Elephas maximus indicus: one gene and its partners. The protein of the gene in region 1 interacts with the protein of each later gene in a pairwise test. Links are inferred from orthologs where the notes say so. Each region holds a gene or a part of one and is shown in the gene's direction. Other genes may lie near its edges. The genes, in order: VIM, SIRT6 and YAE1.

The links.
Region 2: the proteins of VIM (region 1) and SIRT6 interact in a two-hybrid assay, tested with the Homo sapiens proteins (2 studies listed by BioGRID and IntAct). The link is inferred for Elephas maximus indicus from reciprocal best matches to the Homo sapiens genes VIM and SIRT6.
Region 3: the proteins of VIM (region 1) and YAE1 interact in a two-hybrid assay, tested with the Homo sapiens proteins (2 studies listed by BioGRID and IntAct). The link is inferred for Elephas maximus indicus from reciprocal best matches to the Homo sapiens genes VIM and YAE1.

The regions. Positions count from the first base shown.
Region 1 is NC_064822.1:39,613,672-39,617,418, reverse strand, and holds the start of VIM (vimentin), read left to right. Parts: upstream 1-1,078; 5' UTR 1,079-1,234; coding exon 1,235-1,797; intron 1,798-2,434; coding exon 2,435-2,495; intron 2,496-3,747. UniProt on the Homo sapiens protein: Vimentins are class-III intermediate filaments found in various non-epithelial cells, especially mesenchymal cells. Vimentin is attached to the nucleus, endoplasmic reticulum, and mitochondria, either laterally or terminally.
Region 2 is NC_064821.1:7,230,890-7,234,636, reverse strand, and holds the start of SIRT6 (NAD-dependent protein deacylase sirtuin-6), read left to right. Parts: upstream 1-1,189; 5' UTR 1,190-1,228; coding exon 1,229-1,294; intron 1,295-2,787; coding exon 2,788-2,915; intron 2,916-3,747. UniProt on the Homo sapiens protein: NAD-dependent protein deacetylase, deacylase and mono-ADP-ribosyltransferase that plays an essential role in DNA damage repair, telomere maintenance, metabolic homeostasis, inflammation, tumorigenesis and aging.
Region 3 is NC_064826.1:101,776,581-101,780,327, forward strand, and holds the start of YAE1 (protein YAE1 homolog), read left to right. Parts: upstream 1-1,267; 5' UTR 1,268-1,315; coding exon 1,316-1,444; intron 1,445-2,841; coding exon 2,842-2,963; intron 2,964-3,747. UniProt on the Homo sapiens protein: The complex LTO1:YAE1 functions as a target specific adapter that probably recruits apo-ABCE1 to the cytosolic iron-sulfur protein assembly (CIA) complex machinery. May be required for biogenesis of the large ribosomal subunit and initiation of translation.

The DNA.
Region 1 (3,747 bases):
GGGAACTTTTTAAGTAAAGCTATCACCAACTGCCCGGAGACCCGCAGTTGGCGACTCTCCAAGGTCTGCGGAAAGTTCCTTCTAAAAAGTGCGCACATTGGAACAAAATCACGATTTGGCGACTTCTTAAAAATAAAGGGTGCTCTTGGCTCCCCCACGGCTGGACCGTACACATCAAAGCGACCGCCGAGCTCTAAGTGGGGTAAGATTTAGAACAAAACACTGAGCGTGGGGCCCGCGGAGACTTAAGTCAACCTCGTCTAACGGTTTCCCTCGAACTGCTAGGCCCCCTAAACCTCTACCGGCCAGCAGGGCGCAGTGAGTCACCCTCAGTGACTCACAGACCCCGCCCCTCTTCCCTGGGCTTGTCTCGGCCACCGCCTCAGCCCCGGCCGTCCGAAGCCGGACGGAGTCCGTTAAGTCCCTGCACAGTACCCTCAAGACAAGACGAAGAAAAAAGACGAGGGTCCTAATTGTCCCCCCTTTCGAAGCGGGCAGCGCGCGAGGCTCCACAGGCCCAAGTCCTGCGTTCTCCGCTGCGCGCGACCCCACCCCACGCTCCAATTTCAGGCGCTCTTTGTTTCTTTCTCGCCGCCTCTGGATATGCTCGATCCTTTACTCCCCCTCTTCCTGCTCCTTTAGCCGAGGGTCTCTCCCCCCACCGGCTCCCAGTCTGCGCAGCCCTGTGTCCCAGCGCCCACCGCGCACCCCTCCCACCAGTGCGCCTCCTCCCACGTTCCTTTGGCGTGGTCCCCAGGACCCTTCTTATCCAGCCCGGGGCGCCTTCCCCAACCACCGCGCGACCCCCGCCTTTTTCGGCACCCAGGGGTGAGCAGACCTCCGGCAATTACGAGGAAAGCCCCCAAAGTCCTAGCCAAACTTAGCAAGTAACGGGACCGTGCCCAGTCCGGTGCTGCCAGGAGCCGGGAGGAGAAAGGCTTGAGGGCGCCCCCGCCCCAAACCCCCGCCCACTCCCCCCTCTTCTCGCCAGGTCCCCATTGGCTGGCGCGCTTCGCGGCTTGGATGGCAGTGGGAGGGGACCCTCTTTCCTAGCCGGGTTATAAAAACAGCGCCCTTGGCAGGGTCCCGTCCTCTGCCACTCTCGCTCCCGGGTCCCCGCGCCAGAGACGCAGGAGTGCTCCCACCGCACACCCACCGCGCCCTTGCTCGCCTCTCCTCCCGGAGCCAGTCCGCACAGCTGCAGCCGCCCAGCCCACCGCCACCCTCCGCAGCCATGTCCACCAGGTCCGTGTCCTCATCCTCCTACCGCCGGATGTTCGGCGGCCCCGGCACCGCAAGCCGGCCCAGCTCCAACCGGAGCTTCGTGACCACGTCCACCCGCACCTACAGCCTGGGCAGCGCGCTGCGGCCCAGCACCAGTCGCAGCCTCTATACCTCGTCCCCGGGCGGCGTGTTCGCCACGCGCTCCTCGGCTGTGCGCCTGCGGAGCAGCGTGCCCGGCGTGCGACTGCTGCAGGACTCGGTGGACTTCTCGCTGGCCGACGCCATCAACACTGAGTTCAAGAACACCCGTACCAACGAGAAGGTGGAGCTGCAGGAGCTCAATGACCGATTCGCCAACTACATCGACAAGGTGCGTTTCCTGGAGCAGCAGAACAAGATCCTGCTAGCCGAGCTCGAGCAGCTCAAAGGCCAGGGTAAGTCGCGCCTGGGAGACCTGTACGAGGAGGAGATGCGGGAGCTGCGTCGGCAGGTGGATCAGCTCACCAACGACAAGGCCCGCGTGGAGGTGGAGCGCGACAACCTGGCCGAGGACATCACGCGTCTCCGGGAGAAGTAAGGAGGAGCCCGGGCCACTTACGGGGGTTGGGGGGCGACGTCCGGGCAGGGCCGCGGGAAGAAGGGGGAGGGGAACGACGCCCTCCGAGGGGCTGCCACGCCCTTGGGGCGGTGGCGGCACGGGATTCCTAAACTCAGACCTTGCAGCTAGCATTTCCCCTTTGCACGCACTCATTGCCCAAGAACGCTCCGTTTCAGGCAACGGATTTCATAAAACTAAAAAAAAAAAAAAAAACCCACTTTGAAATTAAAGGCACTTGATAAAGATGAGAGTGGTTCGTCCAAACTTTTAAGAAAGTTTCCTGGCCCCTCCTGGCGGGCTGCCAGTAATGGGGCCGGAAGGAGGGAGGAGAGGATAGCTGTGGAGAACGCGAGACAAAGGATGGCCGTCTCCTCTGGGGCGGGAGTGGTGGCGTTTGCTTTGCAGGTCCTAGTGGCGACTGTGATTGCTTTTTCATGCTGCGGCCGAGGTCCCGCTAAAACTTGCCGAGGGCTGCAGTTCTACAAGGGCTGCAGTCGCTGGCTGCCGGCAGAGGCGGCTGTTGTCTCGTGGCGCAGCGACGTGGTGGTTGGGTGCGGCCGCCCTCCCCTGGCGGTTTCCCAGTTCCCCTTGGTTAATATGCAACTGTTTCAGGTTGCAGGAGGAGATGCTGCAGAGAGAGGAAGCCGAGAGCACCCTGCAATCTTTCAGACAGGTTTGTAGACTTCCTTCCCCTTCGTCGGCAGCGGAACCACCCAACCAACCCACTGGCGATTCTAAAAGTTACTTAGAACTTAAGTCCAAAGAGTGCAGAAGTTCACGTCTGTGCATACAGCCCCCTAGTGGTAGAAAGACCACAAATTGGAGCTTTTCCAGCTAAAAACCTTTGAGGGCTTTACCCTTTCTTTAGGACATAAATAAAGTCTTTAACTTTTTACTTTGTTTCAAGATTTTTTTCAAGGAAATAAAGACATTTCTTTCTTTCTTTTTTTTTTTTTTTTTGGGAACGCACTGACATTGTGATTTTGAACAGTTACAGTTTGATTTAGATTGTGGCTTGCTAAAGTTGGCCAACTTTTACAAGGCCACAAAAAGCGCAATTTATGCCCTGTAGTTTAAAAAGTAAAAGGTGTCGGAAGATGAGAAACTTAGTTTGACTGGCATGAAGCCAACAAGTTTCCTTTCTTTGCCAGTTCTATTGTGGCGGTAAAGTTAGGTGGAAGTATCGCTATGCACAACTATTTTGTGATCTAATAAGGGTGAAAAGGAGCCATCTGTCCTCTTGGCTGAAGGCTATTAATGGTTTCTATGGGATTCACTATGGAATGTAGATACAGACATTCTGCAAATGTGGTGGCTTTGGACGGAAATAATAGGAGTCTTTGTGTTCCCAGAGAAGCTTTGCAACAGGCTACATTCTTATTGAATATGTAATGATGTAAGCGCAGTTCTAATTGGACACAAGTATTTGCTAACATCGTGATCTCCGTTATCTAATACCTGGCCCAGCTTGTGAAGTATGTGATGTGAAAAGTTTTTAAAGCTACAGTCATACATCAGATTTTGAAAGGCCGTTATTGGCTTCTTATATTCTTTAGCACTGCCCACAAAAATAAAGAAGAAACCTAAGGCTGATGAATACAATTTTAAGTAAAGGATTTTTTTTTTCTCCAATGTTATAGTGGAAGGAATTTTAGCTTAAAATTAAAACCAAGACGATTTCCCAGCACAGTTTATTCTCCTGAACACTTACTGGAATTGGCTGTACAAGCACTCTAAGATGAATAGCCTAGGATGATATTTTGAAACTGAAATACATTTGCCAAATTAATTTCAGTGCACAGCAATGTGTGGTATTCATTGTAGTCATTGAGCATTTATGACCATACCTGTAATGTCTGCAGAGTACTGAGTTAATATAAAGTAATATTAATATAAAAGTTCCCCTCTTTAGGGAATAAGTAAAA
Region 2 (3,747 bases), on another chromosome or scaffold:
AGCCTATCCTCTCTCTTACAGAGGGCAAGGAGCCCTGAGCCCTGAGGGGAGCCTCCATCCCAGGCCTCTCTCACCCCTTTCCTCTCCTACCTCCTGCAGCTCCAGTGCCCCAGCACCAGGCCACCGTGCAGGCTGCCGGCTCCAGTTGCCCACTCCCAGCCGGGCTGTGAGCTCACACCAGCCGCTCTGGGCACTAAGCTCTGACACTTGATCAGCTCTGAGCAGGCAGCTGCCCCAGGGGGCCGGGGATGAGCTGAGGGAGGAGACAGGCTGGCAGCGGGGCTGCCCGTTGATCGACGGGCTCTGGCGGGAAGATGCTCTCCTCCCATCATCACTGGACTGATTTCAGTTTCTGGAACCAGCCATGATCTTGCTGTCTTCCCAGCCTTTGCACTTGTCAGGAGTCCTCTGCCAGGAGTCCACTTTCTGAACCCCACGTCACCCCGAACTGGCTCACTCACTCCACCTCACGCTACTCACTCTTGAGGTCTTTGCTGCAACGTCATTCCCCTTCCAGGAAGCCCTCCCGGGACGCCCCCAGGCTGGGTGAAGTGCCACCTCCGAGCTCCTTCATTGCTCTGTGCCCTCGTCGTTCCCCGTAGCACCTCAACCACACTGTGACACCTTTGACTGGCCAGATGCTTGCGTCCATCACTAACAACGAGTAGGGAATCGTGTCTTCTTTGTTCTCCAGGGTCTGCCCAGAACACAGTAGGTGCTCAACATGGTACTCAAGGCCACCAGCCTCAACAACCTTGTGCAGTTTCACTCTCCTACCCTGCGTTTTGTAACTTTATAAACTTCTGAAATGTGCAGAAGAAAGATCCTTGGTGTAGAGAAGCAGGAGTCCTGGGTCCCTGCCCTCCTGGCTATGTCCTTACTGGGGGTGACAGGGACATCAGTTTACTCATTTATAAAACAAGGGAATGGGGTACTGATCGCTTATGCACTTCATTCTAGAAGAAACTGCAGAACTCTCACGTGAGCTGCCGCCCCAATCTTCGCAGCCCCTTAACCACCCCTGCGAGTTTGGACAGGGAACCGGGAATTCCTTCTGCCAGCAGTTAAGATGGCGCCTGCAGCCTCACGAACACGCGCATGCGCCTTGGAGGAAGACGCCGGGCCCGTAGAAAAAGAGCGCTGCCCCTCCTTCCGCCCCGCCCGCCCCATTTCCGGCGGAAGCGGCCTCAACAAGGGAAACTTTATTGTTCCCGTTGGATGAGCGAGGATGTCGGTGAATTACGCGGCGGGGCTGTCGCCGTATGCTGACAAGGGCAAATGCGGCCTCCCCGAGGTGAGCGCGGCCTGGGGCCCCGAAGTGCGCCCCCAGGGTCGCGGGCTGGGAGGGGCTGGCCAGCAGCGGGGCATTGTGGGAGTATCAGGAGGCACTGAGGTTAGACAATGGGAGGGACTTCCCAGTGAGGAGGGGGCGGGAAGTGACGACCCCTGCGCGCCCGGGGACACGAACACGCCCAGCTCTGGGTGGGCCAGGCTGGGACTGAGGTCGGGGAAGGCCTGAAGGCTGGTGGTGGAGGAGGGCACGCAGTTCTAGGCGGAGGGCACGTAGTTCCAGGGGGAGGGAATAGCCAGGGCGAAGGCAGGAATGTGGGATAAACACACTTGGAGAACAGAGTAGGGCAAAGAGATCTTCAGAGGCCGGCCAGGACGGGCCTCAAATGGCAGGCTGGGAAGTGTGATGGGGAAGGGTTTTGAGCTGGGGAGGTACCGACCGGGACAGATTGAGGAGGGTCCGAAAGATCCCTCCAGCCACTCTGGGAGGAAATGGAGTAACAGTCTGTGCCCACCACCTACTGAGGGACCTTAGGCGGGTCTCTTCCCTTATGGGCTTCCATCTCCCCTTCTGTAAGCTGAAGGACAACATGGTTCCCATCTCATAAAGGCTGGCCCATTCTTTTCTAATCATACGTTTAATAAACTCTCAGATGGTGTGAATCCCTTCCATTATTCATCTTATTCCACAAACATTTATTGTGCACCTACTGTGTACCAGAAGTCCCTGGGTGGTGCAAACTGTGAACATGCTCAGCTGCTCCCAAAAGATTAAAGGTTCGAGTCCACCCAGAGGCACCTCGGAAGAAAGGTCTGGTGACCTACTTCCAAAAAATAAGCCATCGAAAACCCTGTGGGGGCACAGTTTTACACTGATACACATGGGTCACCCTAAGTTGGAGTCGACTTGATGGCAACTGTGTACTAAGCACTTTGTAGGACACAGGACAGACAAAACCCTCTCATTCTACTGGGGGACACCGACAAGAAACAAATGAACGTAATAAGTCAGGTGGTGCTAAGAGCTATGGAGAAAAATTAATCTGGGAGAGCTGGGGGTGGAGGGAAAGGCGGCATTGAAACTGGGTAACCAGGGAGGCCTCATTGAGATGACATTTGAGCCAACACCTCAAGGAGGTGAGGGAGTGGTTGGCGTGATGATCTGAGGGAAGAGCACTCCAGGCAGAGGGAACAGCCTGGGCAAAGACCCTGAGGCAGGACCGTGCCTGGTGAGTTGGCCCTTGTGGCTGGAGCGGGATGAGTGAAGGGGAGAGCCGAGGAGGAGGGGAGGGCAGGGCGGGGACAGGGCAGGGAGGACTTTTACGGAATAAGGTGGGAGCCATGGTGGGCTACAGGCAGAGGAGGGACGCCAAGACAAGCTGTGCTTTCCAACCCTGTCTCCTCCCCCTGAGCATAGCACGTCAGTCCATCTGTGGCTCTTGGTCTCCATGCTTGTAGGGCGCGTTCCGACCCCACCCTCCCATTCTCTCCCAACAGATCTTCGACCCCCCAGAGGAGCTGGAGCGGAAGGTGTGGGCGCTGGCCCAGCTGCTCTGGGAGGCCTCCAATGTGGTCTTCCACACAGGCGCCGGCATCAGCACCTCCTCCGGTATCCCCGACTTCAGGTCTGTGTTCGGAGAGGGGAGGTTGAGGCAGGGCCCGCCACGGGCTTCCCTGTCAGCTCATAGATGCCTGGGCACCTGGACCCATCCCACTGATTGTCCCCTTCCTGGGTCCTGGGCCATCTGTCCCTGGGATGTTGGCAGGGTGTTGAGAGGTTGCCCTCTCCCTTTCGGACTTACCCTTTAAGTCAGGCCCAACATTCCACTTATACTTCATTGGCCGGATCTTGGCCACCTAACATTAGCCGCAAGGAATGCTGGGAAATGTAGTCTTTAGCCACCCATGTGGGGGCCAGCACTCGGCTGCTAACCAGAGGAAAGGTCCTGATTTGAACCCACCAGAGGCTCTGGGGGAGAAAAGACTTGGTGACCTGCTCCTCTAAAGATTACAGCCAAGAAAACCCTATGGGGAAGTCCTGTTGTCATCTAGGGTCACTATGAGTTGGAATCAACTTGATGGCACCCAACAATGTTACCATAGAGGAATCTTTGGGTGGCGCCTACAGTTACTGTGCTCAGCTGCTAACTGAAAGGTTTGCAGTTCAACTCCACCCAGAGGTGCCTTGGAAGAAAGGCCTGGCAATCTACTGAAAAATCAGCCACTGAAAACCCTATGGACAACTCGTACAGAAACTTAAATGGGAGCCTAAACTGCTGTGAAAACACAATAAAATATTATTTTTAAAAAAGCCCTATGGAACACAGTTCTCCTCTGACACACATGGGGTCACCATGGGTTACAGTCAACTCAAAGGCAACTGGTTTTATTGTCATAGAAGATGGGGGAGAATTGACATCAGGGAACAATTATCTACACACGCTTGCAGGTATTTTC
Region 3 (3,747 bases), on another chromosome or scaffold:
TCCAATTTTGATTTTCTTTTTGTTGCAAATGCTATTTAGGAAGGTGTTTCTAATATCCGGTAGTATAGTTAAAATTATTGGGGGTCATTTTTATTTTTTATTATTAGTTTTATTGGATTATGATCAGAGAGTCTGACCTGTAAGATCACTATTCTTTTTATTCGGTTATGGGGAGGGGGGAGCACACAATGTTTTTTAAACGTATTCCATGGACATATCAAGAAAAACATAAATATTCTTTATTTGTGGGATGCAAAATTTTCTCTGCATAAGTTGTAACTTGCATCACCAGCGCCCCACTCACACACACCCATGGTTCCCGTTACTTTGCTTGTTTTTAATTTTTTTCATAGCATTTATCATCTTCTAACAAGCTATATAACTTATTTTCATATTGCTTATTTATCATCCGTCAATTCTACATGAATATAAAAAGGCCACGAAGGCTGGGAACGTTTGCCTATATTGTTCATTAATATATCCCAAAAACGTAGAACAGTTCCGGGCAGAAAGTGGGTGTTCCAGAAATATATGTCGATAAATAAATCATTATCACATGACTCATTTCACTTACACAAAGGACAAAAAACGGAAGGCTACTGTGTCCATTCATTCACAAACGTCTATTTGAACACCTACTATGCGCGGGAACCACCGTGCTGTGTGCCGAGGCTAATAAAACTGGTCCCTGGCTTCCCGAAGCCACCCAGTTTCCTTTGTGGATGAAGAACAGGAGCCAGTGAAGGGCCCTGTGAATCAGTGAGAAATGTATTCGTTTTACAAATATACTCCTTATATCTCTTATTAGCCTCAAGTCGGTCGCTGTACCTAATTTTTCCATTTAATTCTTCTTTGCTCCAAGCTCCTAACAGTTAAAAATGCCGGGCTGTAAAACCATTCGAACACACTGTGGGGGGGTTCTAAACGGAGTCTTTGGCTAAATTGCCAATCAATTTAACTACCTAGCAGGTTTTTAACCAATGCGCGCGTCTTCGAAAACTCAGGGCACCGTAGAGACGACGGTGGGAATGTTCACTGACAGCCGGGGCTGCCTTCCGCAGACGCCAAGGTCGCACGGGCCTCGCAAGGAAGGAATCCGCCTTGCCCACAACCGCCACGCACCCACCCTTTGTGTCAATTGAGGGTGCTCCAATACACGACGAAGAGATAAGACAAGGTCGCACAGCCGAGACACCCGAACACCTCCGCCGCGCACGCGCAGCCCAAAGCCCAACTCGCCGTCTGGGCCCCGCCCCCTCGGACCGGAAGGAGTTGCGGTGCTTCCGGTACCGAGCGACCCCTGGTTGCCTCGGTGATGTCGTGGGTTCAAGCTGCTGGCTTGGTCGGATGCCCTGGAGACGAGGGGGATGTGTTTGATGAGGAGGCGGACGAGTCGCTTCTGGTGCAGCGAGAATGGCGGAACCACATGCACAGACGAGTCCAAGTAAAGCTGGGTGTAGGACGCGGGGGTTTCCTGGGATGACGGGTTGCCGGGAGAGGGAGCGAGGATGGTGGAATTACTGGTCCGGAGAGTAGAAGGCAGAGTGGCCCCAGCCTGGCCCGGCGCTGCCCTCCCTACCCGTTGCCACCTAACACGGCCGGCATCTTGCTAGACTTTCCCAAAGGGTTTCTTGAAAGCGTGTCAGACCACAAGGTGCGTTTGACGCTGGGGACGGACCAAAATAAACTGTCCAGACTTTGAAGAGATTGCAGTTTGATGAGGATTACAGAGAATGAAGTGGGAAAGAAACGTAAACAGACTGTACTAATTATTGCTGTCAAGGGCATGTGCACAGTTTACTTGGGTGCTTGGGTGGGTGTGAAGCCTAAAATTAGGAGTGCTGTCAATCAAGACTTTGTGGAAAAGGTGAACTTAATGTAAAGGCCACGGATTGTCAATGGGTAATTCCAAACCAAACCCGTTGCCGTTGAGTTGATTCCGACTCATAGCGACCCTTTAGGACGGAGTAGAACTGCCCCATTAAATTGTCCCTAAAGCTGCAGTTGGAAGTCTGCTCTCTTGTGTAGTGTTTCAGTAAAGTAATATTCGCTTACCTCAGCAACAATATTGTCAATTGCAAAAATAGTTTATGTAAAGCTGAGGCTAAAGCAGTAAATATTGAGCCTTGTTTGACTGCTATGGCACTAGTGGAAAATGCCCACGAAAAGTTTGCAGTTTATTGGAATGTAGATATGAAGCAGAATTTCTAGAACCAGATGTGTCATCTTTGTTTTCCGAAACCAGCTTCCCCTTCTTTTTCCCTGCTTCACTTAATTATTCGGTACCCTCCCCAACCCCATTTACTGCCCTGCTTCTTCACCCACCAACCCGAGCTGCTGCCAAGGGGCCATATGTGTAATTCTCCGTGTAAGAAGCAGTATTTTAAAATTTTCCCTGTGAGTCCAGACTTCAAAAGTGGGATAAAGAAAGATTACCAAAAGCCAAACCCGCTGCCATCCAGTCGTTTCTGACTCCTGGTGACCCTCTAGGAAAGGGTAGAACTGCCCCCATAGGGTTCCAAATCTGTAAATCTTTACAAAAGCAGACTGCCATATCTTTCTCCTTTGGAGCAGCTGGTGGGTTTGAACCTTTCAGTTAGCAGTTGAGTGCTTAACCACTGTGCCACCAGGGCTCCCCAGAAAGATTAGCCAATAATAAACTTCTATGGGAAGCACAGGCTGCTTTGGTTGTGTGGCTATGCCATATGTTATGGAACCATTATGTTAAGTAATGTAAAGGCCCATTTCATCAATTTCCTAAATTAGTTCTGGGCCTTTCTAGAAAAACCTACCTGTAGTACTAGTTGCAGCTACAGTTCTTCATTTCCTCCTTATATTTAGGAAGGTTACAGAGATGGAGTAGATGCTGGCAAAGCAATTGCTCTTCAACAGGGCTTCAATCAAGGTTATAAGGAGGGTGCAGAAGTCATTATAAACTACGGACAACTCAGAGGAACATTAAGGTACTTTTAAAAATTTAAGTTTTGAATCATTTTAACTGTAATAGTTCTGAAGAATGTTTATGAAAGTAGTATGTAAAAATGAAGTATTTAAACGGAATTGCTTTTCCTGGTGTTAAACTCATAAAAGAATGCTGCAGAGCATAGCTGCAGAGCATAATATTGCCTCAAAGAGTCAAAAACATCATCAGTTCATCTACTTTAAGATATGAGCCAGGTGTGGTCCTTTCTGGCAAAGAAATGGTAGGAGGGTATATATTTTTGCCACCCAAACTACTACCAACCTATGTCTAAAGTAAAATATCTATAGGTTTTGAATAAGCTTTTAGTCTTGGCGCATAGTGGCAGAACACAGTGTGACAGACCTCTAGACTAGAAGTACATGATGAAAATTATAGATGGCAGTAGAGAGAAAATGGCTCCATTTACTTTAGTTCTGGTAATTGAATACCTGTCAAGATACCATAGCAACAATGGCATATATCAGAGCCAAGGCTTTGTCAAATGACACAGGGAGTCAGGAGCATGACAGACTTGTCCTCTTTGATGTTTTGTACCTTTTATACTATCCTCAGTAGAGAAAAACACAATGCTCCAAAGAAGCACTAATAACAGGTTGAAAATAAAAGTTATCAAAACAAGAAAAATTCATTGTGTTTAGGATTTTGGAAAATAAACTGTCAGAAATCAGAATTTATAAAGGCTACTACAGTAGGAATATGATCAAGTGTTCATCGTAAAATCAAGTTAAGTTAATCTTTTATAAGTGTAAAAAGGTTATTGCTGA